3 linked regions of the Lonchura striata genome follow. The protein of the gene in region 1 purifies or fractionates together with the protein of each later gene. This does not show direct contact. Links are inferred from orthologs where the notes say so. Each region holds a gene or a part of one and is shown in the gene's direction. Other genes may lie near its edges.

Region 1 (7,566 bases):
CTGGGGGCATCTGAGGGGTCCCTGGATATGTGGGGAGGGGTCCTGGGGGCATCTGAGTGGGTCCCTGGATATGTGGGGAGGGGTCCCTGGGGTGTCTGAGGGGTCCCTGGGCTGGTGGCAGGGCACAGCCGCGTCCTGGGTGTCCCCTGGGGGCTGTGGGGGTCCCCTTCCCCCCCCACCCCGGTGACCCCTCCCCAAATCGGCAGGGAAGGAATACGCCAAGGCCGACAGCCGCTACATGACGTGAGTTGGGGACGCGGGGACACGGGGAGGGGTGGCCCGTCCCCGGTGTCCCCGGGTGACCCGCCACCCCGGGGTGTCCCCGCAGGAGCGATGACTTCACGGTGGCCATGGAGACGGTGACAGCCTGGGCCTGGGGTCCCCTCAGCTTCCTCACCTTCCTGGCGCTGCTGCGGCAGCACCCGGCGCGCTTCGTGCTGCAGCTCATCGTGTCCCTGGGTACGGCGCGGCCACGTCCCTGTCCCCCCAGACTGTCCCTGTCCCCCCAGGCTGTCCCTGTCTCCTGTCCCTGTCCCCCTCAGGCTGTCCCTGTCCCCCCAGGCTGTCCCTGTCCCCCTCAGACTGTCCCCTGTCCCCCTCAGGCTGTCCCTGTCCCCCCAGGCTGTCCCTGTCCCCCTCAGACTGTCCCCTGTCCCCTGTCTCCTGTCCCTGTCCCCCTCAGGCTGTCCCTGTCCCACTCAGACTGTCCCTGTTCCCCCAGACTGTCCCCTGTCTCCTGTCCCTGTCCCCCCCAGGCTGTCCCTGTCCCGCCAGGCTGTCCCTGTCCCCTGTCTCCTGTCCCTGTCCCCCCAGGCTGTCCCTGTCCCGCCAGGCTGTCCCTGTCCCCTGTCTCCTGTCCCTGTCCCCCTCAGGCTGTCCCTGTTCCCCCAGGCTGTCCCCTGTCTCCTGTCCCTGTCCCCCCCAGGCTGTCCCTGTCCCCCCAGGCTGTCCCCTGTCTCCTGTCCCCCCGTGACTGTCCCTGTCCTCCTCAGACTGTCTCCTGTCCCTGTCCCCCCCAGGCTGTCCCTGTCCCCCTCAGACTGTCCCTGTCTGCTGTCTCCTTTCCCTGTCCCCCTCAGAGTGTCCCTGTCCCCTGTCTCCTGTCCCTGTCCCCCTCAGACTGTCCCTGTTCCCTGTTCCTGTCCCCCTCAGGCTGTCCCTGTCCCCTGTCTCCTGTCCCTGTCCTCCTCAGGCTGTCCCCCCTTGACGTTCCCTGTTCCTGTCCCCCTCAAGCTGTCCCCATCCCCTGGCTGTCCCCGTCCCCAGGCTGTCTCCATCTCCAGTCCCTGTCCCGTGTTCCCCCTGACTGTCCCCATGCCCTGACAGTCCCCATGCCCTGCCTGTCCCTGTCCCCGTGCCCTGCCTGTCCCTGTCCCCATGCCCTGCCTGTCCCTGTCCCTCTGTCCCTGTCCCCATCCCCATGCCCTGCCTGTCCCTGTCCCCATCCCCATGCCCTGCCTGTCCCTGTCCCTGTCCCCATGCCCTGCCTGTCCCTGTCCCTGTCCCCCTGCCCTGCCTGTCCCCATGCCCTGCCTGTCCCCATGCCCTGGCTGTCCCTGTCCCCATGCCCTGCCTGTCCCTGTCCCTGTCCCCATGCCCTGCCTGTCTCTGTCCCCATGCCCTGCCTGTCCCTGTCCCTGTCCCCATGTCCTGCCTGTCCCTGTCCCCATGCCCTGCCTGTCCCTGTCCCCCTGCCCTGCCTGTCCCCCTGCCCTGCCTGTCCCCATGCCCTGCCTGTCCCCATGCCCTGACTGTCCCTGTCCCCATGCCCTGCCTGTCCCTGTCCCTCTGTCCCTGTCCCCATCCCCATGCCCTGCCTGTCCCTGTCCCTGTCCCCATGTCCTGCCTGTCCCTGTCCCCATGTCCTGCCTGTCCCTGTCTCTGTCCCCATGTCCTGCCTGTCCCTGTCCCCATCCCCATGTCCTGCCTGTCCCTGTCCCTGTCCCCATGCCCTGCCTGTCCCTGTCCCCATGCCCTGCCTGTCCCCGCCGCAGGCCAGCTCTACGGGGACGTGCTGTACTTCGCCACGGAGGCGCGGGCGGGCTGGGCGCACAGTGACCCGCGGCCCCTCTACTTCTGGGGCTACTTCGTGGGGCTCAACGGGCTCTGGCTGCTGGTGCCCGGCCTGCTGCTCGTGGACGCCGGGCGGCAGCTGGCCCGGGCCCAGCGCGGCCACGACCGGCCCCGCCACAAGGCCCACTGAGACCCCCACCCAGGGGTGAGGGACCCCCACCCAGGGGTGAGGGACCCCGCCACAAGGCCACTGAGACCCCCACCCAGGGGTGAGGGACCCCCACCCAGGGGTGAGGGACCCCGCCACAAGGCCCACTGAGACCCCCACCCAGGGGTGAGGGACCCCCATGGGGTGAGGGACCCCACCATAAGGCCACTGAGACCCCCACCCAGGGGTGAGGGACCCCCACCCAGGGGTGAGGGACCCCCCATGGGGTGAGGGACCCCCCCACAACAGGCCCTGCCACAAGGCCACTGAGACCCCCACTCAGGGGTGAGGGACCCCCCCATGGGGTGAGGGACCTCCCCATGACCGGCCCCGCCACAAAGGCCCACTGAGACCCCCACCCAGGGGTGAGAGACCCCCACCCAGGGGTGAGGGACCCCCCATGACCCGCCCCGCCACAAGGCCACTGAGACCCCCACCCAGGGGTGAGAGACCCCCACCCAGGGGTGAGGGACCCCCATGGGGTGAGGGACCCCACCATAAGGCCACTGAGACCCCCACCCAGGGGTGAGGGAACCCCCCCAGACTGAGGGACCCCCCCTCAGCATCGGGGAACCCCCCCGTGGGAAGGTTCAGCACCGGGAGGGTCCTGGAGATGAATTTTGGGACCCCCCCAAAAAAGCTCAGGGAGAGCGGTCGGAGCCCCCCGTGTTCCCCACGGGGACCTCCCCCTCGTTTTTGGGGGTCTCAGCTTTGTTCTCGGGGTCCCCACCTAAATTTGGGGCATCCCCACCTCGTTTTTGGGGGTCTTCCGTGGGAATGTCCCTCGTTCCTGGGGGGCAGGGATGGGTTTGAATAAAGGAGCTGGAAATGGAGCTCGGGCTCTGCTTTTGGAGGTTTTTTGGGGGGTTCTGATGGGTTTTGGGGGGCTTTGGGGGGGTTCTGGCACATTTTTGGGGTACCTGGAGGGTTTTTGGGGTCTCTTGATGGATTTGGGGTAGTACTGAGGAGTTTTTGGGGAGTCCTGGGGGGGTTTTGGGTGGTCCTGGTGAGTTTTGGGGGTTTCTGGTGAGTTTTTGGGGTTCCTGGGGGTTTTTTGGGGGGTCCTGGGCGGTTTCTGGGGGGTCCTGGGGGGGTCTTGGGGGGTTTTGGGGGGTCCTGGTTAGTTTTGGGGGTTTCTGGTGAGTTTTTGGGGTTCCTGGGGGGGGTCCTGGGGGGTTGGACCACGTGGGAGGGCGGGGAAGGGGCGGGGCTTGTGGGTGATTGACAGATGAGTGGGGTCCTCAAAGGGGCGGGATCCCAGCTGGGCTCCGCCCCTGCCGCGCCTGAGCCAATAGGAAATTAGGTCGTTCGCTGTAGCCAATAAGGTGGCGACGTGGGCGGGGTTTAAGCCCGCGCCAATCAACGCTCGGCGTCTCCTCGCTGCTCCCGCCCAGCGATGATTGACGTGCCGCCACCCAATCAGCGCTCACGTTTACACCGATCCACCCCTCCCCTCTCCGCTCAACCGGCACCTCCACCAACCAATCACCTCCCTCCCCCCTCCCCTCCCTCCCCCAAAACCAACCAATCACCGCCCGTCCCTCCCCGCCTCGCCCAATCCGCGCTCTCCCCTTCCATCCCCATGGCAACGCCCATCCCGCCTCCCCTCACGGAGGCGGAGGAGAAGAAAGGCGGGACTTCCTCCCGGCTGCGGACCAATCGGAGCGCTCCTTCTCCCGCGGCAGCCAATGGCGCGGCGCGCCGCGGGCGAGGCGGAAGCGCGCGCGGGGTCGGAGGTGGCGGCTGTTGATGTTGACACGGCCCCGGCGGCCGCAGCGCCCGCGGCCCCTCAGCGCCGGGGCGGCCCCGGCCCCGCCGCCGCCGCCGCCGCCGCCGCGCCCCGGCCCCGCCGCGCCCCGCGCCGCGCCGCGCGCCCCCGGCCCGCCCCCCGCCCCCGCCCCATGCGCGCCCCGCCATGACGATCCTCCCCAAGAAGAAGCCGGTACCGGCTCCCGACGGCGACGGCGACTCCGGCCCGGACGCGGGGCCCGAGCGCGGAGCGGACGCGGGGCCCGAGCGAGGCCCCGGAGGCGTCGGCGAAGCCGGCGGCCCCGGCGGCGTGGGGGGGCCGCGGCCTCGCGCCTCGCCGCCGCCGCCGCTGCGGGGCTGGGCCGCGGCCGCCGGGTCCCCCCCGCCCGCGGGGCCCGGCGGCGCCGGTAGCGGCGGGCCCGGCTCGGCCGACGGCCCCGCGGCGCTGCTGGGGCTGGAGGCGGCGGCGCTGGGGCTGCCCGAGCCCCGCGGGCCCGGCGGCTGCGGCGGCGGCGGCGGCGGCCCCGGGCACAGCAAGCGGCGGCGGCGCGGCGGGGCCGGGCCCAGCGGCGGCGGCCCCGCGGGACCGGGCCCCGGCGGCATCGCGCTCGGCCTGGGGCTGGGCCCCGGCTGCGGCAGCCCCGGGCCCGACGAGGCGGGCGGCGGCTACAACAGCGAGGACGAGTACGAGGCCGGCAGGGTGGAGATGGACCCGGCCACGGCCGAGCAGGTGCGGGGAGAGCGGCGGGGACAGCGGGGACAGCGGGGGGACAGCGGGAGATACCGGGGGAACAGCGGGAGATACCGGGGGGACAGCGGGGAGGACTGGGGGGACAGCGGGGAGACACCGGGATTAGCGAGGGGACAGCGCGGGGACATCCGGGGACACCGGGGAGGGACCGGGCTACAGGGGAGGGGACCGGGGATACCGGGGGGACACGAGGGAGCACCGGGAGACACCGGGAGACACCGGGGAGCACCGGCGGGGACAGCGCGGGGGCATCTGGGGATACCGGGAGTAGCGAGGGGACACCGGGGGGACACCGGGACGCGGGGGAGGGCCGGGGGGGGACACCGGGAGATACCGGGGGGACAGCGAGGGACACTGGGGGGACACTGGGGAGGACTGGGGGACACTGGGTGACATCAGGGGATGTCGGGGGGACACCGGGAGGACACCGGGGGTCCTGCCGGGGTTCGGTGTCCCCGATGTTGCCGCCCCCCCCCATGCGGGGTTGTCGCCGTCCCCATTTTGCTGCCGTTTGTTCCCAAATTGTCCCCAAATTGTCCCCAAATTGTCCCCGCTTTGGGTGCCCCATCCCCCGCTTTGGGACCCTTCCCTGTCCCCCAAAGTTTTCCCCCCCACCCCCCCCATTCCCAGTGTCCCCTCTCGGTGACACCCCCGGGACCCCCCCATTGGACCCCCACCCCTCATCCCCTGTGGCTGCCTCAGTTTCCCCCTCTCATACCCCCCCCAAATAACCCGGGGGACCCCCCAAATCCTTAAAGGACCCCCCCCATCCCCAAGAACCCCCCTGAACCCCCCGTTTTTGGCCCCCACCCCTCATCCCCTGTGGCTCCCTCAGCTCCCCCCAACTCGTACCCCCCCCAATGACCCAGGGGACCCCCAGGGACCCCCCAAATGGCCCAAGGGACCTCTAAACCCCCCCAGGACCCCCCCCCATCCTTAAGAACCTCCCTGACCCCCCCACCTTTTTCCCCCCATTGTGACCCCACCCCTCATCCCCTGTGGCTCCCTCAGCTCCCCTCATCCTGTGCCCCCCCCAATGACCCGAAGGACCCCCAGGGACCCCCCAAATGCCCCGAGGGACCCCCGAATGTCCCGAGGGCCCCCCGGGACCCCCCCGAGCCCGGCTGTGTCTCCAGCAGGAGCACCGGTTCGAGAAGGCGCTGCGGGAGAAGAAAGGCTTCATCATCAAGCGCATGAAGGAGGATGGGGCCTGCCTGTTCCGGGCCGTGGGTGAGCCCCGAAACCATCCCGAATCCCCCAAAAATCCCCCCAAAAATCCCCCACAGACCCCCCCAAAAATCCCCCCAAAAATCCCTCCAAAAAATCCCCCCCAAAAATCCCCCCAAAAAATCCCCCACAGACCCCCCCAAAAATCCCCCCAAAAATCCCCCCAAAAATCCCCCCAAAAATCCCCCCAAAAATCCCCCACAGACACCCCCAAAAATCCCCCCAAAAATCCCCCCAAAAATCTCCCCAAAAATCCCCCACAGACCCCCCAAAAATCCCCCCCAAAAATCCCCCCAAAAATCCCCCCAAAAATCCCTCCAAAAAATCCCCCCCAAAAATCCCCCCAAAAATCCCCTCAAAAATCCCCCACAGACCCCCCCCAAAAATCCCCCCCAAAAATCCCCTCAAAAATCCCCTCAAAAATCCCCTCAAAAATCCCCCAAAAATCCCCCCCAAAAATCCCCCACAGACCCCCAACTGTCATCTGCATGTCCCCCCAATGTCACCTGCCCGTCCCCCCCCCAATGTCACCTGCCCGTCCCCCCCCAATGTCACCTGCATGTCCCCCCAATGCCCCCTGCCCATCCCCCCCAATGTCACCTGTGTCCCCCCAATGTCACCTCTGTGTCCCCCCAATGTCACCTGTCCGTCCCCCCCAATGTCACCTGTCCATCCCCCCCAATGTCACCTGTGTCCCCCCAATGTCACCTGTGTGTCCCCCCAGCCGATCAGGTGTACGGAGACCAGGACATGCACGAGGTGGTGAGGAAGCACTGCATGGACTACCTGGTGAGGAACTGGGGAACTGGGATGGACTGGGATGGACTGGGAGGGGACTGGGATCGACTGGGGAAAACTGGGATGGAACTGGGAGGGACTGGGGAGGGCAGTGGTGGGCACTGGATGGCACTGGGAGGGAATTGGGATGGACTGGGAGGAACTGGGATGGACTGGGAGGGTGCTCAGAGCCCTGGGGGGAGCAGGCTGCTGTTCCCTCCCCCAGTGTCCCCAGGGCTGTCCCAGTGTGTCCCTCCTCAGCCTGTCCCAAATGTCCGTGTCTCCACTGTCCCCAACGTCCCCGTGTCCCCAGCCTGTCCCTGTGTCCCCAATGTCCCCCTCGTGTCTGTGTCCCCACTGTCCCCAGCCTGTCCCCAGTGTCCCCAGTGTCCCCAGCCTGTCCCCAGTGTCCCCAGTGTCCCCAGTGTCCCCATGTCCCCACTGTCCCCAGCCTGTCCCCAGTGTCCCCAGTGTCCCCATGTCCCCACTGTCCCCAGCCTGTCCCCAGTGTCCCCATGTCCCCAGCTGTCCCCAATGTCCCCAATGTCTTCAGCCTGTCCCCACTGTCCCCAGCCTGTCCTGTGTCCCCAGCCTGTCCCTAATGTCTCCAGCCTGTCCCCGTGTCCACAATGTCCCCAACATCCCTGTGTTCCCAGTGTCCCCAGCTGTCCTGTGTCCCCAATGTCCCCCCCGTGTCCGTGTCCCCAGCCTGTCCCCACTGTCCCCATGTCCCCAATGTCCCCAATGTCCCCACCATCCCCAATGTCCCCACTGTCCCCATGTCCCCACCGTCCCCAGCCTGTCCCCGTGTCCCCACCATCCCCAATGTCCCCACCATCCC
Region 2 (7,751 bases), on another chromosome or scaffold:
ACCATGGTTCTGCCATATGAAGTGAACAAATAAGGAGGAGAAAAAAGCCCCATGCAATTACAAATAAATAAATCTTAAAAACGAAAGGCTCACATTGTTCAGTTCTCTGTGCACTTGCTTTTAGATAACCACTCAAGAGCCAGGACAGTGTCCTTGGGTGACTGCAGCTAAGTGGAGCTCACGTGGACAGTCCTTCTAGCAGAAACTGCAGCCAAAACCAGAGATTAAATCCTCACTTGCTACAGGGAAGCCCCCTCACACACACACACCTAACCTTCAGGTCAGGTTAGAATGGGTCCTAAGTGACTTTCCCAGGGTGTAGGTGATGTCAGGATCTTTATACTTTGAGGACCTGTGTTCACCAGAGATGCCTGCCACCAGCAGAATGGACAAAAGCAAAAGACAATGTCTCCCCATGGAGGCGACAACCCCAGGAGAAACAGCACAAGAATTAACACCAGCACACTTGCCTTTTGGCTCAAAGCTCCTTCATGTGTAGATACTTTGGTATTGCTTAGCTTTGGATTTGTAGAACTGCCTTGTGTATCCACCACCTCCAACTTCATTGTTTTTCTGGGCACAAGCTCTATATCATCATTCTCACAGGAGTCCTCATGTGGCATCTTGTCTGCTTTTGAAACAGTTTTCCCAGACTCTTCGGCAAATTCCACCACATAGGGGTAAAGATTATTTACAATATGCAGAACTTGGCCTGGCTTCATTTTTACCACTTCATCCTTGCCAATATTCACAAGATCAACACTAGTTGGGTTGACCCCTATCTTTGGTAGACAGGAAAAGGAAAAAATAGTAGAAAATTATGTTGTAAGTGGAATCGCCAACTTCTGCTCAGTTCTCCTGGAATACCATTATCCTAGAAAGCAAATGCATTCTGCATTCATCGCCCAGCCTGCCCACATCAACCCACTTTAGCCAACCAGGCAGTGAAGCACTGTGGACGTCTGTTTCTGTCCCAGTCTTGCAGTCACAGCTGTCAGCACACAACCTCAGGGCCTGCCATCAGAAGGAGCCTGGGTCTGCAGCAGCTACACAGTTACAGCATCACTTGTGCTGCACTTCCCTCACAAATTAGACACCTATGAAACAACTAGTTACAACTGTTACATGTAACAACTGTAACAACTGTTACATGAAGTAACAACAGCAACTATTTCTGAAGAGCAACTGTAGTTTTAGCAAATTATTTTTGTGCAATCAAACTGTGTTGTAGGCAACCTACAGAGATTGCTTGACAGATGGATTTTGCATCATCATGTAGGTGACCTTACAAAAATTAGGAGTCTTCAGCAAAATGCTTTTGGTTAATGTATATGCACAAAACGGGTTTTAGGAAATCAGCTCTCTTCTGTGACTGATGAACTCAGAGTTTTTGCTAGCTTTGTCACTGCCATACCTGCATGCTTCACAAGACAGTACTATACCTCTCACTTGGAATTCACTGCAATGAAGCACACACCTGATTCCAGCCAGGATCTCTTTAGTCTACAGCTATGCAGTTTCCCTCAAGTCAAGGATGCTTCCCATCAGTGAATAAAGTATCAAACAACTGATCACTGGAACCTTGTGCCACACATCTCTCACCTGGGGAGCAACTCTTCACACACACAAGCAGCAGTACCAGAGACCTTTCCCTTCCTATTCTCTCAGAGACTGGGTTTTGTAAAGTGTGAGGGAATAGGCCTGCCTCCATCCATCTGGTAACATTCCTGCAGGGCTGTCTTACATCCCATCCCTTCCTATAAGTAACCACATCTCTGGCCCTATCAGTCCACCAATAAAAATGTTCTACAACTGCATAGTCCCATTAACACAAGAACTTCAACCTTAAACAAAGGGCTGCCTCAGCTTATGAAGTTTAAGGCTCAGGAAAAAGATAAGCAAGTTTAGTAGAAGAAGTCCAAAGTCTCTCAAATGCAGCACCCAACAGAACTGATTGAGTACTCACAACAGCATTCCCTGATGCTACAAATCTGGCTGTGTTAGACTGGAATGTATCTGGAATGAATAGTGCAACCTCTCACTGAGGTGCACAAATAAGAAAATACACTTGCTGTAACTTCTCTTGGTGATAAGAAAACTTCAGGTCCCTCAGACACCGTGATTAGAATCACCACTTGGAGCAGTTGTGGAGTTAAGTACAACTGTCCCAGTACCAGAAATATTGGAGATCCATGCATAAAAACATACCTGTTTAACTGTGACATAACCCTTGTTACAGTCTGCTTTTAACTGAACTGGAAAAGAAAGAACAAAGTGTCACAAAACCATGTAAATAAAAAGAACTCTGCTGAACCACCCAGTCCAGAAAACACTCCTCTTTTTGAAGAGCCATATCTTTCTGGAGCTAATCTTTGTGAATGCATGCCAAGAATATTTCTGCCTCATCTCTTCATACCTCTTCTCATACCACAGGTAAAACAGAGTCAACCCATACACTGAGCCAAGGGTGGAATTACTTTGGAACAAAGGTGGATTCTGTTGATATTTATACATATGCTTGACATTCTAACCAGCCCACTGGGACAATAAGGCATAGAGCAAGACTGTGTCCAGAGGCACAGAATATAACACAGGGAAGATGTGCAGTATTAAATAAGTGATAGGTATTTTCATATATTCTCCAAGATCACATTATTTTACATATTAAATAATAATTATGCTAAAAATCAGTTGGTGGAATACTAGGGAGAAGAAGTGCTGCTCATGAAGTGAGCAGTGAAACACAATTGTGGGCCTGGGAACTCACAAAAAGCTTTTGTATGTGGAGGCGGACGTCCTGTCTCTGATTTTGTAGGCCCCAGAGATCCCCATAAGTGCTTATTAAAAAGGCTTGATGACTTCAAGAAGCAGGCAACACTGCAGAACACACAGAGGAACAAGGCACGCTCAGTTGCTGCTGCACGTGGAAAGCAGGATTTGAGCTAAATCACCTTACCTTGCTGACGTGAACACTTCTTATCTGTTATCCCAGTCTCTGGGCCACGCCCAATTACCACAGGTTCCAAGTGTGGCAGTTTCACCCGCTGAGTGCATTTCTCTTTGCTCACAAGCCAGCACATACGCATCACTGTGCTATAGAGCAAAATAAACAGTGTGTTACCAACACGCCACTTTCTGATGGGCTACCTTGCTGTGGAACATGGTCCATGAATTCTGCTACCATTAGGTTAGCCAATTCTATTAACTTGGTTCAAGTTTCTGAAATGCAAAGCAAACCATGTCACCAGCACTTGCATAATCCAAGAGCAGGTTGCTGTTTGAAAGGGCAATACTGTTTTCCTTCCTACACTACCATACATTCTCACATCTGTGAACCATATATAGGAAAAATCAATTTTATTGACAGTTCCATCTGACAGAAGAGCCTAACCACAAAAAACGTCACTTTGTTTCCCACTGAATCAGAGTTCACCGAAGAGATTAATTTAACAACCAAAATAAGAGAGAGCAGCAGAAGACAACACATGATGAGAGAGTTGTGACAGCTTCATCCAGCAACAGTCAGCACACGGACCATGCCATGTAACCTTCAAGCTTACATCAGTTTGACCCTGGTAAAGATCCCTCATGAGCTCTGCACTGGAGAGCTCATGCCTGCGGAAAGCAAGGCTCGGTCCCCAGTCTAACGCTGGCATGCCACACACCCATCCCCACGGCACACGTCCATCCCCACGGCACACACCCATCCCCACGGCACACGTCCATCCCCACGGCACACACCCATCCCCACGGCACACACCCATCCATCCCCACGGCACACGCCCATCCCCACGGCACACACCCATCCATCCCCACGGCACACACCCATCCATCCCCACGGCACACACCCATCCCCACGGGAACATGCCCATCCCCACGGCACACACCCATCCCCACGGGAACATGCCCATCCCCACGGCACACACCCATCCCCACGGGAACACGCCCATCCCCACGGCACACACCCATCCCCACGGGAACACGCCCATCCCCACGGCACACGCCCATCCCCACGGCACACACCCATCCCCACGGCACACACCCATCCATCCCCACGGCACACACCCATCCCCACGGGAACACGCCCATCCCCACGGCACACACCCATCCCCACGGCACACGCCCATCCCCACGGCACACGCCCATCCATCCCCACGGCACACGCCCATCCCCACGGGAACATGCCCATCCCCACGGCACACGCCCATCCCCACGGGAACACGCCCATCCCCGTGGGCCCCGTTCCCATGGCAACGCCTGACCGACCCCTCCCCCTTACCGCGCGCGTGATGTTCGCGCCGCCGCAGCCGCCACTGCAGCCAATCAGCTGTGGCAGCGTGTCTCCCACGTGACTAGAGGGAGGCGCCCGCCGCGGCGCGTAGCTCCGCGCAGGCGCACTGGGCCCGCGCACCCGGGGGTGGGCGCTGGGCCCTCACAAAGGGGCAGTGCCGGCCGGCCTTGCGGCGGCGGAGCCAAGTCTGCGTAGGGTGAGGGGGGTAAGGCGCGGAGCGTTGCCGGAAGGCGACGGCCGGGCCGGCGCTGCGTACCCGGTGCTACTCAGAGCCTTCGAGGGCGGGAGCGGCCGACGGCGCAGGCGCAAGGCGAGGCGGACGCTGGGCAGGGACGGCGCCGCCCACGCGGGGCGGGGCGGGGCCGCGCTCCAGATCGGCGGCGGAGGCGGGCGCAGATTGGCCAAGCGCCTTCCCCTCCTGAGCAGCCATTGGTGGGCCACTCGCCCGGGCCCTGCGCGCGGCGGGGCAGGACTTCCGGGGCGGGGCCGGCTGCTGAAGCGGCGGGGCTGCGGGCCCGGCCCGAACTTTCCAGAAGAGTCGGGATCGGAGCTGCGCGGAGTGGGATCCGCGACCGCCGCCCCGGGACCCCCGTGCCGCCACCGCCATGGTGAAGGAGACCACCTACTACGACGTGCTGGGCGTGAAGCCCAACGCATCCGCCGAGGAGCTGAAGAAGGCCTACCGCAAGCTCGCACTCAAGTACCACCCGGACAAGAACCCCAATGAGGGCGAGAAGGTCGGCGGGACGGGACGGGCCGGGGCGGGGGGGGCCGCGCGGGAGGGGTCGGGCGGGAGGCCCGCCGGGGGTGCCGCGGGTGCCTGAGTGCCGGTGCTGTTCTTTCTGCAGTTCAAGCAGATCTCGCAAGCTTACGAAGTGCTGTCGGACCCGAAGAAGAGAGAGCTCTATGACAAAGGAGGCGAACAGGCTATCAAGGAGGGTGGCTCCGGCGGCGGCTTCGGGTCACCCATGGACATATTCGATATGTTCTTCGGCGGTGGAGGAAGGATGCAGAGGGAGAGGCGAGGTAACGTGTTGGCGAGGGTATCAGATTCTCTGAGGGGAATGCCTTAGATGTAGGAGTTTAAACAGAAATTATAGACTTAATCTGAAAATTGGAGAAAACTCTTGTCCCTTAACACCTGAAACACCAAGGGAGGGCCCTTGGTTGGTGTGGTGGTAGTTGGGTATCCCTGTGCACTGTCCCCTGTTAATCGCTAAAGCAGGTGTGTTCGGAGTACTTTTAGCTTGAGTGTAAGCCCAGCTGCTAGTAGACAAAATAGGAAATGGAAGGGTAAAGTAGCTTAAAATGGTTTACTAATTAAGTTACTGTAACTGTAGTATCTAAAAGCAACTATCTAAATCAGATATCAAGATCCAGTTCAGTCTGTGAAATTTTTCTGTGTTCCTGCACTGTGCAGTGGAATTAAGTTGAAACTGCGGTAAAATGCTACCCAGAAGTTAAACTCCAGTTTAATCACGCTGGGAAAAACTTTAAAGCTGTTAAGAGCAGTGCTGAGCCTGTCACCTCTTAGTGAAGATCTGTTGAAAAGATGAAGAAAAAATGTTTTGTATCAAAATGTTAAGAGTGTCAAAGTACTTGTAATAACCCAGAGCTCAGCATCATTTACAAAACTAGGCCTACAGCAGCTGAAGTGCTAAGGAGTTCTTGAGGGTAAAAATATAATTGCTTATTTTTGCTTCCAGAAGGTCACCTGGTGAGAGGAAGGAAGTGCTGAAATGGAGATTCCAAACAGAGTCTCTGCCTTGTTTGTAGATCTTTTTGGTGACTTTGTTGAAACCTGAGTCCTGCATTATAAAACTTAAACGTTTGAGGTTCTGTGTGTTCTGTTGCTCATACTTGTTTGTACTTTTCCAGAAGGTCTCTTCTGACTTTAACAAAGTCAAAGTCATGACAACTGTTACCTAATATGACAGCACCTGGGAAGAAGCTTTTGACTAATACAAGCAAAACAAGACAAACCTCTATCGATACAAGATACTGAAGCCCAGAGACTTAGTTTATCTTGGCTTGGCAGGGAGATGTGCCAACCAAGCTTCTAAACTTTAATTAAGTTCTGTTCTTTTACAGGTAAAAACGTAGTCCACCAGTTGTCAGTAAGTTTAGAAGATATGTACAATGGTGCGATGAGGAAACTTGCACTGCAGAAAAACATTATCTGTGACAAATGTGAAGGTAATGTTGAAACTGAAATTAAAGAGATGTTTCTAAAGCTTTGGGGGATTTTTTTCTGGTAGCACATAACCACCTAACTCCATTTTTTGTTCTCAGGTCGTGGTGGTAAGAAAGGTGCTGTAGAATGCTGCCCTAATTGTAGGGGAACAGGCATGCAGATCAGAATTCACCAGATTGGGCCAGGAATGGTGCAGCAGATCCAGTCTGTGTGTATTGAGTGTCAGGGGCATGGGGAGCGTATCAGCCCCAAGGACCGGTGTAAGAGCTGCAATGGCAGAAAAATTGTTCGAGAGAAGAAGATACTGGAAGTTCACATTGACAAAGGTGAGGTGTCTTACTGAGGTGAAGTATTGAACTTGAATGTACTGACTGACTTTGCAGCACTAAAACAAAAGCTTTAGCAAATGTGGTGTTGATTTTGTGAGTAATAGTGCTGAATACACAGTAAAATTGCTTACTGCTGCCTTACAAAAGTAGACTTATTTTCTAGGGAAGGTCCACTATCTCTGTTCACTTCTAAAGCCTGGCACATAACTAAGAATGAATTCTGAAACCTGCGTTATTGTAAGAAGTGAATTATTTTTCAGGTCCCTCTAAGCCCAATTTGTGATCAGGTAACACAATCAATTTTCACTGCGTGCAGCAAAACTGCAGACTGATCACTTCCGCTGTGTTTCAGTGTGAAGGGGAGCCAGGTCTGCTATAGTGGCAGGGTGCACAGACAGTGCTAAGGCTCTCATGCTTAAAGCTCTGTTGACTACGCAGCCCTGACAGTGCTGCCCAATGCAGGTACCACTTCCTTGCCTGGCAAAATGCACCTCAATACACAAACCCTCAACGTGATGGGTGAACGGAATGGTATTGAATGACAAATGCATCTCTGTTGAGGGGGCTGCCCAAAAGCTGGTGGGAGAAGTCTGGAGTAATGCAGCTTGTAAGGCAGAGCACGCTGACAAGTACATGACTTAAACGGTCTTGCTTGTGATTATGGCCTGCAGCTGTTACATGTGTAAGCAGAGCTTCTGCAGCACCTGAATTTGTAGGGGAGATCCATAGTGGTAGTAAATATAAGGTCTAGAAGGGATGTATTACTGATATTTTGAACAGGGAAGTCTTATGAGAAGGATGTTTTTATAGAAGTAAGGGAAAAGATTTATGTAGGATAAGAAAGCTAGTATTTTTGTTCAATCGATTTCTTGTGTGGGTGAAACAAGTTTCTTATGGGAGGTTTTCAGTCCATAGGGAATGCTTCTTGGACTTGGCA
Region 3 (7,546 bases), on another chromosome or scaffold:
CCAGCAGAGAAGAGGGAATTCTGCTTCCTTGCCACATGCCCAGGAAAGCCCAGAGTGACAGTTTGTATGTGGAACCTTCATCCAGAATTGCTGTGCTATTGGCCTGCAGCTTACTCTAAAGGCTGCCATGCACTTGTCATGGAATGTAAAGCCATTAATGCTGGCTGAATGTTCAACCCTGGTGAAAATCTCAGAGTGCCATTAGTGTACTGTTCCCTATCATTTGTTTCTGTTCAGCCACTGCCCATGGTTTAGATTACATCTAATCAAGGCAAGTAGGACGTGTACTTGTGCCACCAGAGTCATCGGCCGCACGCGTTTGTGCTGAACGTCACCCCAGCAGGCGCCGACGTCGGGGAAAGCAAGTCCTGGTGAGCTCTTTTTAGCAGGCCTGGCACCAGTCCCCAAACTGGTTCTCCCTGAATAGACTTGTGTGTCTGCCAGGGGCTTCCCTTGCACACAGCCAGATGCAGTGGGGTCTGGATATCACCCCTCCAACCAGGGCCCTTCTATTCCCACAGCTCAGTCCCACTGCCTATTCATTTTAATTGTAAGTTACATTCTCCCCCTCCATATTCTCTTTTATTCATTCTTGCATCACCCTTTTTCCTCTGTTTTCACATCAGCCAACCTCTTCATTACAAAAGTTCCCTACATTTTTTGCTATGAGCAAAAAGCATTAAAAATGCAATATTTAGACAACATAAAATCCTAATAATCCTGTTTTTACATGCTTTGACTTCTGCCTCTGCTGGAGGCATCACTTGTCCTGCCTACAGCTGAACCAAAAATAAATGTGGGGGAAACACACTGCATGTTCTAGTATTTGTAAATTATTAGACTTCTGAGGTTATGTAATAATTTTGTAAAATTATGTAAAAACTTTTAATTTCTTAGCAATCAATGATACCAGAAACAAAAGACTAGCTAAATCTTATTGTAAGAACTTAATAGCCTTCCAGTGTACAAGGCTTCAGCACGAGAAAACAGGGGTCATGTAGCAGGACCTCAGTGAAGACTCACAAGTCGCTGTAATATGCTGTGTAAATACTTAATATGCGTATGTTTCATTTTGCCAGTCCTGTAAATTAACTTTTTATCTGGTTATTCAGTTCTCTTATCATCCTCAGCTTGTTTACTGAATTTCATGTCTTGGGCAAGATGAAGCAAGCTCATGAGGAGTAGCTGGTTTTCAAAAGATACAAGCTCCAGATAACTGAGGACAAGTAAGGCACACAACAATATTGAAATCACTCAGAGTTTTATTGCAGCTGACTGAGACAGAGTGTGCTTTGAGGCTGGGAAATTTCCATTCCTGAACTGCAGGACAGTGCCTGGATACTGCTACAACTGCAGTTGAAAAATAAAAGCAACTTAATTTTATACAGACAGCTACAAAATGTTAGTATATTAATTAAAATAGCTAGATTTATATTATAAGCTTTTAAGGTTGCTGTAAAATAGATCCCTTTAAAAATATTTAGAGTATGATTGTAAATTACTTGTTCAAAACTAAAGAATATGAAAATGATTTGAAATTGCAACTGTGTTTTCAAACTGTATTTGTGAACAGCAAAACTAACCAGAACATGATAGATAATACAAGACATCTCCTACAACAGTGACAGGTTCTGACAGTGACAGAATGATACCCAGTGCAGGATCAAGGCTGTTACTGACAGAATCATTCTGCAATTAATAATCTTTTGTGCTCCCCTTGGCATGCACAGAACAACCACAGCAATCTGTTTTCTCATCTTAACTCCATGGTGTCTAAGCTCCATGTAAAGTCTGCCAGAATGTTGAATGCAGAAAAAAAGAAATACTGGGGAGGAAAGTAAATTTTTTCTGGCACCAAGGCCCAGCAGTGTGGATGAGAGATTGTTTTTAACCTCCCAGCAGTGCAAGATTACAGCAATAGCCTCATTTTCATTAAGGTCGTTTTACACTGCGAAAGCAGTGGTCATTCACATGAAGATGAGTCTCAAGGGATTTCTGATGTGTGTCACCTGTTCTGTCAAGCCCAGGTAGGTACTGACTAGAAGTTATTACCAGCTGATGCTCTTTCTGAATCTTAGGATAGTTCCCTGTGGATCAGAGCTCATATCTAAGCAATTTCAAGAACCATCACCATGGTTCCTGAGTGCCTTAGAAGTTAAAATATATCTTTATAAAACATTTTAACATGTCTTATTTCTCTCTCTCATCACCCCCGCACAAAGGCTTGAGGTCTTTTTAAATAATTCTGGTAAAACTGTATGTACTTAATGCCAGTGTTTGATTGGGATGATGGGGAGGTTCAGGTTTATGCTGACATACTTGTACAACAGCTACCAAGAAAGCCACGGCTGCAAATCACACAACCGGTATAATTATGATGATTTTAGGAGATGTGGCTTCAGTTTTAAATTAGCACAAAGATCTGAGATGCCTCCCACCCCCACTACAGAGGGACACCATAGGGCAGCTCCATGCTGTTTGTCCTCAGCCTGACCCAGCACTGCTGATCCCAGGGCTCAGGGGCCCTGTGGTACAATGTTCCCTTTTCAAGAGACCTATTTACAGAACAAGAATTAACAGTTAAAGCAGAAACGAGTAACAGTGCAGGGAATTTCTAGATCCTGATTGTAGGATGAACTCATTCATGTGACTCCTGAACTTGACTGAAGATGGAGACAGTCCAAACCATGACGTATTTACACTGACTTAGCTAATGGCTTAGCTTTTTCTTAATATTCCTGTTTCTGCTTACACAAACTCTTCTCTGTTCAAAATAAAAAGGTCTTTTCCTTCTGCTTCTCATTATCTGCTATAATTTTTTAGTAAGTATCACCTCTTCTCCCCCTTCATTTTGATCATGGAACTCATAATTTTCTTAAAACATGTTTATGTGCTTTCCAAAATTGAGGCTTTTATGTCACCTTATTAAGGCAAAAGACCCAACATTAAGTGCAGGTAATGGCAGTGTATTTAAGTAGGGTGAAAACTGATTGATACCACTCCCATCTGCTCTGCCTATCTCAGCAACTGCAGAGCTTCACTGAAACACTGCACCCAGTTCTGCCATGGGAGGAGTTGTTGGGAGAGCATGCTGTAGCCTCTGACCATTTACTCGGGTTTAATTGGATTAGACATATATTTGAACACAGTGCTCAAAAGAGCTGACAGTCCTTCCACGATTTCCTGGCCTGCCTGGTTGGTTTCCTTTTTGATCAGACACATCCCACGAAGGTAGAAAATAATTTAGATATACACCAGTTTTTAATTAAATTTAGTATGGCAGGCTGTGTTTAAGCTACATTCTCCATAATAATTTGTTTTGCATTTGCTAATGACAGAGTTATATATGTATGTAACAGAACTGTAAGCAAATTTTCATTTTTAGAGTTAAAAGAACCTTTAAAATAATACTGTACTTGGTTTCAGAAAATTGAAACACTTGCATTTACTGGTGTCTGAAATTTCTGAGAAAAAGAATGCTGTGTGTCTGAAGTGCAGAACGCATCACGAAACAAAAACCATCATAGACATGTAAAAATTAATACATCAGAAGCATTATCCCACCCAAATATACAAACCACGAGCTGTAGAGTCGAATGCCTGTTAAAGACAGAGGCGAGTTTGTTGGATTTTGGTGCTTGTCCCTGACAGGTTTCCCTCCATCAGCCGAGGCTGGGTGGCTCCCGGAGCCCTGGGGCAGCCGGGGGCGCAGCCGGAGCCGGGACTGCGCTCCCCGCCCCGGGCACCACTGAGGCGGCTCGGCCGACGGCAAAGGAGCCGGGTCGGAGCAGGAAGGGCCGGGAGAAGGCGGGATGCCAGAAACGACCTCGGCGAGTTGGGAGAAGCGAGGCATCGCCGGGGCCATGGGTGCGGACAGACGCGAAGCAGCGGAGATGCTGGCAGAGAAAATATCAGTAGTAACCACGGTTAGTACTTCTGTCAGGGTCATTAGAGAACTGCTGGAAAGGGCAGAACTGGAGTTAAGATCCTTGTGCATGAAGCCCTGCAAACAAGGAAAAAGCTGTTTCAGGAAAACTCTGCCTTGCAGAAAACCAGAAAAGATACGGCACGGTTGCAAGCAGTACTCAAACCATGACTAACCTTCAGCTGAGATTTTACCTCCCCTACAAAGTTTATTTACATTTATACGGGAAGCAGCGAACAGGAAAACGTCATTACATGTAAAAACATTATGCTGAAAAGAGTTTGCAGAACCGTGTGAAGCCGGGAAGGGTCACAAACGAAGTCGCGCTCATGGCAGGGCGGAGCGGGCTGAGGGCGGCCGGGCCCGGCTCCATTTCCCGCCCGTCACCTGACGCCTCTAATGGCGCCGCGCGGCCACGTGACCCGCCGCGCGCCCCACGTGACCCGCGGCCGCCGCGCCCCCTCCCCAGCGGCTGCGGTTACCGCAGTCCCCGGCCCCGCCCCCGGCCCCGCCCCCTGCGCGCGCGGCCCCGCCCCGCGCCGCTCCCTGCGCGCGCGTCCTCGCCCCCCCCGCTCCCCCCTTGCACCTCCCGGGCCGGGCGGTGCGCGCGCGCGGCCGGCGGCGCCTCCTCAGAGCGGCCGCGGCGGGTTCGGCGCTGACGGGGCCGGCGGGCCGAGAGCGGCGGAGCGGCCGGAGCGGGCGGCGCCTCTTCCTCCCTCCTCCTTCTCCTCCTCCTCCTCTCTCCTCCCTCCCGCATCCTCCTCCTCGCCCCCCTCCTCGCCCGCCTCCGCCCCCCCGCACGCAGCACCGCGGTTCCCGGCACGGACAACATGGCGGCGGTGTCGGGGGCAGGGGCTGCGGGCGGCTCCGCCAGCGCCGGCGGCCCGGAGATGGTGCGGGGACAAGTGTTCGACGTGGGGCCGCGCTACACCAACCTCTCCTACATCGGCGAGGGGGCCTACGGCATGGTGTGGTGAGTGCAGCCGCCGGGGCAGCGCCCTTGCCCCGGACAACTCCCTCCTCCCTTCCCTCCCTCCTTCCCGCCGCCCTGCCCGGCCGCGGGCCTGGCCCGCCCTTGCCCTCGGGGAGGGGGAGCAGCTCTGCCTCCCGCTCCTCAGCTCTGCCTCCTCTCCGTGTTCCCGAGGCTGTCTCTCCGGCATCACCCTTCTTTCCCTCCCTTCACCCCCCCATCCCTCGGTCGGTGGGTGCAGCTGAGCGTCTCGTTTCGTTTCGCTCCTGCGTTTATTTTCTTTAAATCTTGTGCCTCTGGAGTTGGTCGCTCTCGTTATTTCCTCCGTCTCCGTAGTGCGATTGCAGACGTTCAGGAAGGGGAGGAGGTAGTAAATCCTGCTGGCAGCCCCGCGTCCCTTCCAGTGCCCTGCGAGGGCTCACCTGGCTGCAGCAGCCGAGGTCGCGGGGATAAAAAAGGTGAATCCGAGCATAGGAGTTGCTGCCGCTGCCTGACTTTGCTCAGGACGTGCTGTCTGTGCTGCAGAGCTGGCCGGATTAGTGCCTGCCTTATTGTGTGCAGGTGAAAGTTATCTTCAGCCTTCCTAGGTCTAAATTATATTGTATTATAAAGACTTAGTCTGAGTCTCGCTGAAAAGCGATCGTGTAGGTTTGCTGTGGGTAACATCGGTCTTACAGAGAGCCGTGAACGAACTACAAAAAACGTGAACTAACTGGATTGAGAGTGTGAGATGGATTTTTTAGCAGTCTCAATGAGCTGGGGTGATGCTGTCTGATCTGTGCATCTAATGACTAGGTTATTAACCTGGCATGCTCAGTAGCCTTACTTAGGATTTCATATTTTGTCTTCCATTAGTTAAAAAAACCCTGTAGTCCTGAAATAACTTAAGGGATGCAGATAAAAAATTCTTTTTTATTGCTGTTTTATCAACTTCTTTGCAACGCTGCCTCTGTTTCTTCAGTATGATTTTTGACCAGAAGTACTAAAAGCAACTTACAGGCTGTGACTTAATGAAAGCTTTATCAGCATTAATTTCTCTCTCTGATGGGGAATCTTTTGTAAAGCAGTGTATTTCTCAGCGAGGACACCTCACAGCCTTCAGCTGTGTGCTACATAGATTTTTATAGCTGTAGGTTTTTGCACATAGTCACTGAATTGTGCTGGCCTGTCAGGATGAAGTCGTTGTGTGTTTCAGGGAGGGGGCTTTCATCTAGGCCTGAGTTCAGCTGGGAGATGAGCCTCTCTCAGAGTTTTGTGTTGTGGCCTTCACTTTTCTTACTTTGCTGTGGGAAGATTCTTCAAAATGTAAATCAAAAATCCTATTTACTGTATAAAAAATATCCTTGTTATTGTTTCAGTGTTAGAAATCACAGCAATATATCTAGTCCAAAATTTGTTGATATATCTTCTGGTACAGGCTGTATTTTATTATGGTTATTTTATCATCTGGAGCAGTGTAAGGAAATGAATGCAGATAATCTCAGTAGTGGCTGCACTGGTTTGCATTCACAGTCAGGTTTTTGAAGGTCCTGGGGAGTAGCGTAGCTGAGGTGTGTGCTGGGGACAGTCCAGTTGACTTCAATGGGGTGTTAAAAACTGGGTTTCACAATCAAAGTGAAAAGCTAAAATATTTCACCACAGATGAGGGACTGCAAGAAGCAGCATGATGGCAGTTGATGCCCTTTTTTGGCATCCCTGTGCCAGTGTTCAGATACAGGGGAAACGGGGCCACTTCTGCCCCTCCAAATGGTGTGTGGTAAACTTCTACACTGAAGCTGTTTCCACTCTAAATCCAAAAGACTGATTTTTATTTGAAAACTTCTTCTGATACTTTGTGTCTGCTGTGAATGCTGTGCAAAATCACTATCAAATTGATAATTTCCAAATCTCCAGTTCAGCTGAAATACACACTTGGCTCCTTGCACTTGTCTGTAAAATTATTAACATAAAATGCCACATTATGTATTTTGTGCTTGTGATTATTGCTCTTGTGCCTTGGGTGTGAAATGACAGGGAACAAAGTCTCAGTTTATGGCGTGTACACGATCAGGAAAGTGTTGGATGCACTTGTAGCAGTGCCATAGCAGCTGTGCCCTATTGTGGTGACTGCGATGAAATGCGATTGCCTATCAATCCCAGCCATGCAGGTTGAGCAGTTTACTGCTCTGTGTTTCTTGTTTTGCTCTGGTTGCTAATGCAGTGAGGATCTGCAGAAGCTTCTCCCTCAGGGGGTGGGGTAGAGGGCAAGCTGTGAGTGTGCAGATGGAGATGTTTCCTGCAACTGCAAAATCCATTTAAATTTGTACACGTTAATAAAGGAAAGCAAAGCAGGTCCTGATGGTTTTGTTTTAGACCCACAGCTAATGTGGAGCTCTTTGGAGATGATGGTTATTTACAAGTGCACTGTGCCATAAGGCTTGTTACTTGGCAAACGAGTGTCTTTTGAATCTTAAAATCCTTCACTCTCTCTCTTGTTTTATCCTGATTCTTATGTTTCTACATTATTGGATTAGGGATTTGAAAACAATAAAATGCTTTCGATTATATGAGTAAAAGGGCAAATGAAGTATTCTTAGGACAGTGCTGTTATGGCCAGTCTTCCATTTTGATTTTGCAGCAGAGAGAATAATGTTTGAGAAATATTGATCACA

The links.
Region 2: the proteins of OTUD5 (region 1) and dnaJ homolog subfamily A member 1 purify together in Homo sapiens (affinity purification with mass spectrometry, with the first as the bait; 3 studies listed by BioGRID). This does not show direct contact. The link is inferred for Lonchura striata from reciprocal best matches to the Homo sapiens genes OTUD5 and DNAJA1.
Region 3: the proteins of OTUD5 (region 1) and MAPK1 purify together in Homo sapiens (affinity purification with mass spectrometry; 3 studies listed by BioGRID, with this or other methods). This does not show direct contact. The link is inferred for Lonchura striata from reciprocal best matches to the Homo sapiens genes OTUD5 and MAPK1.

Annotation. Positions count from the first base shown.
Region 1 is NC_134638.1:1,035,680-1,043,245, forward strand, and holds the start of OTUD5 (OTU domain-containing protein 5), read left to right. Parts: upstream 1-4,552; 5' UTR 4,553-4,676; coding exon 4,677-4,700; intron 4,701-5,857; coding exon 5,858-5,951; intron 5,952-6,672; coding exon 6,673-6,737; intron 6,738-7,566. Other genes in the region: EBP (3-beta-hydroxysteroid-Delta(8),Delta(7)-isomerase), read left to right, coding at 207-243, 329-459, 1,995-2,203. UniProt on the Homo sapiens protein: Deubiquitinating enzyme that functions as a negative regulator of the innate immune system. Has peptidase activity towards 'Lys-48'- and 'Lys-63'-linked polyubiquitin chains. Can also cleave 'Lys-11'-linked ubiquitin chains (in vitro).
Region 2 is NC_134642.1:48,010,408-48,018,158, reverse strand, and holds the start of dnaJ homolog subfamily A member 1, read left to right. Parts: upstream 1-4,748; 5' UTR 4,749-4,896; coding exon 4,897-5,028; intron 5,029-5,139; coding exon 5,140-5,317; intron 5,318-6,382; coding exon 6,383-6,487; intron 6,488-6,583; coding exon 6,584-6,811; intron 6,812-7,751. Other genes in the region: APTX (aprataxin), read right to left, coding at 471-782, 2,209-2,255, 2,957-3,093, 3,927-4,108.
Region 3 is NC_134620.1:7,339,543-7,347,088, forward strand, and holds the start of MAPK1 (mitogen-activated protein kinase 1), read left to right. Parts: upstream 1-4,543; 5' UTR 4,544-4,755; coding exon 4,756-4,898; intron 4,899-7,546. UniProt on the Homo sapiens protein: Serine/threonine kinase which acts as an essential component of the MAP kinase signal transduction pathway. MAPK1/ERK2 and MAPK3/ERK1 are the 2 MAPKs which play an important role in the MAPK/ERK cascade.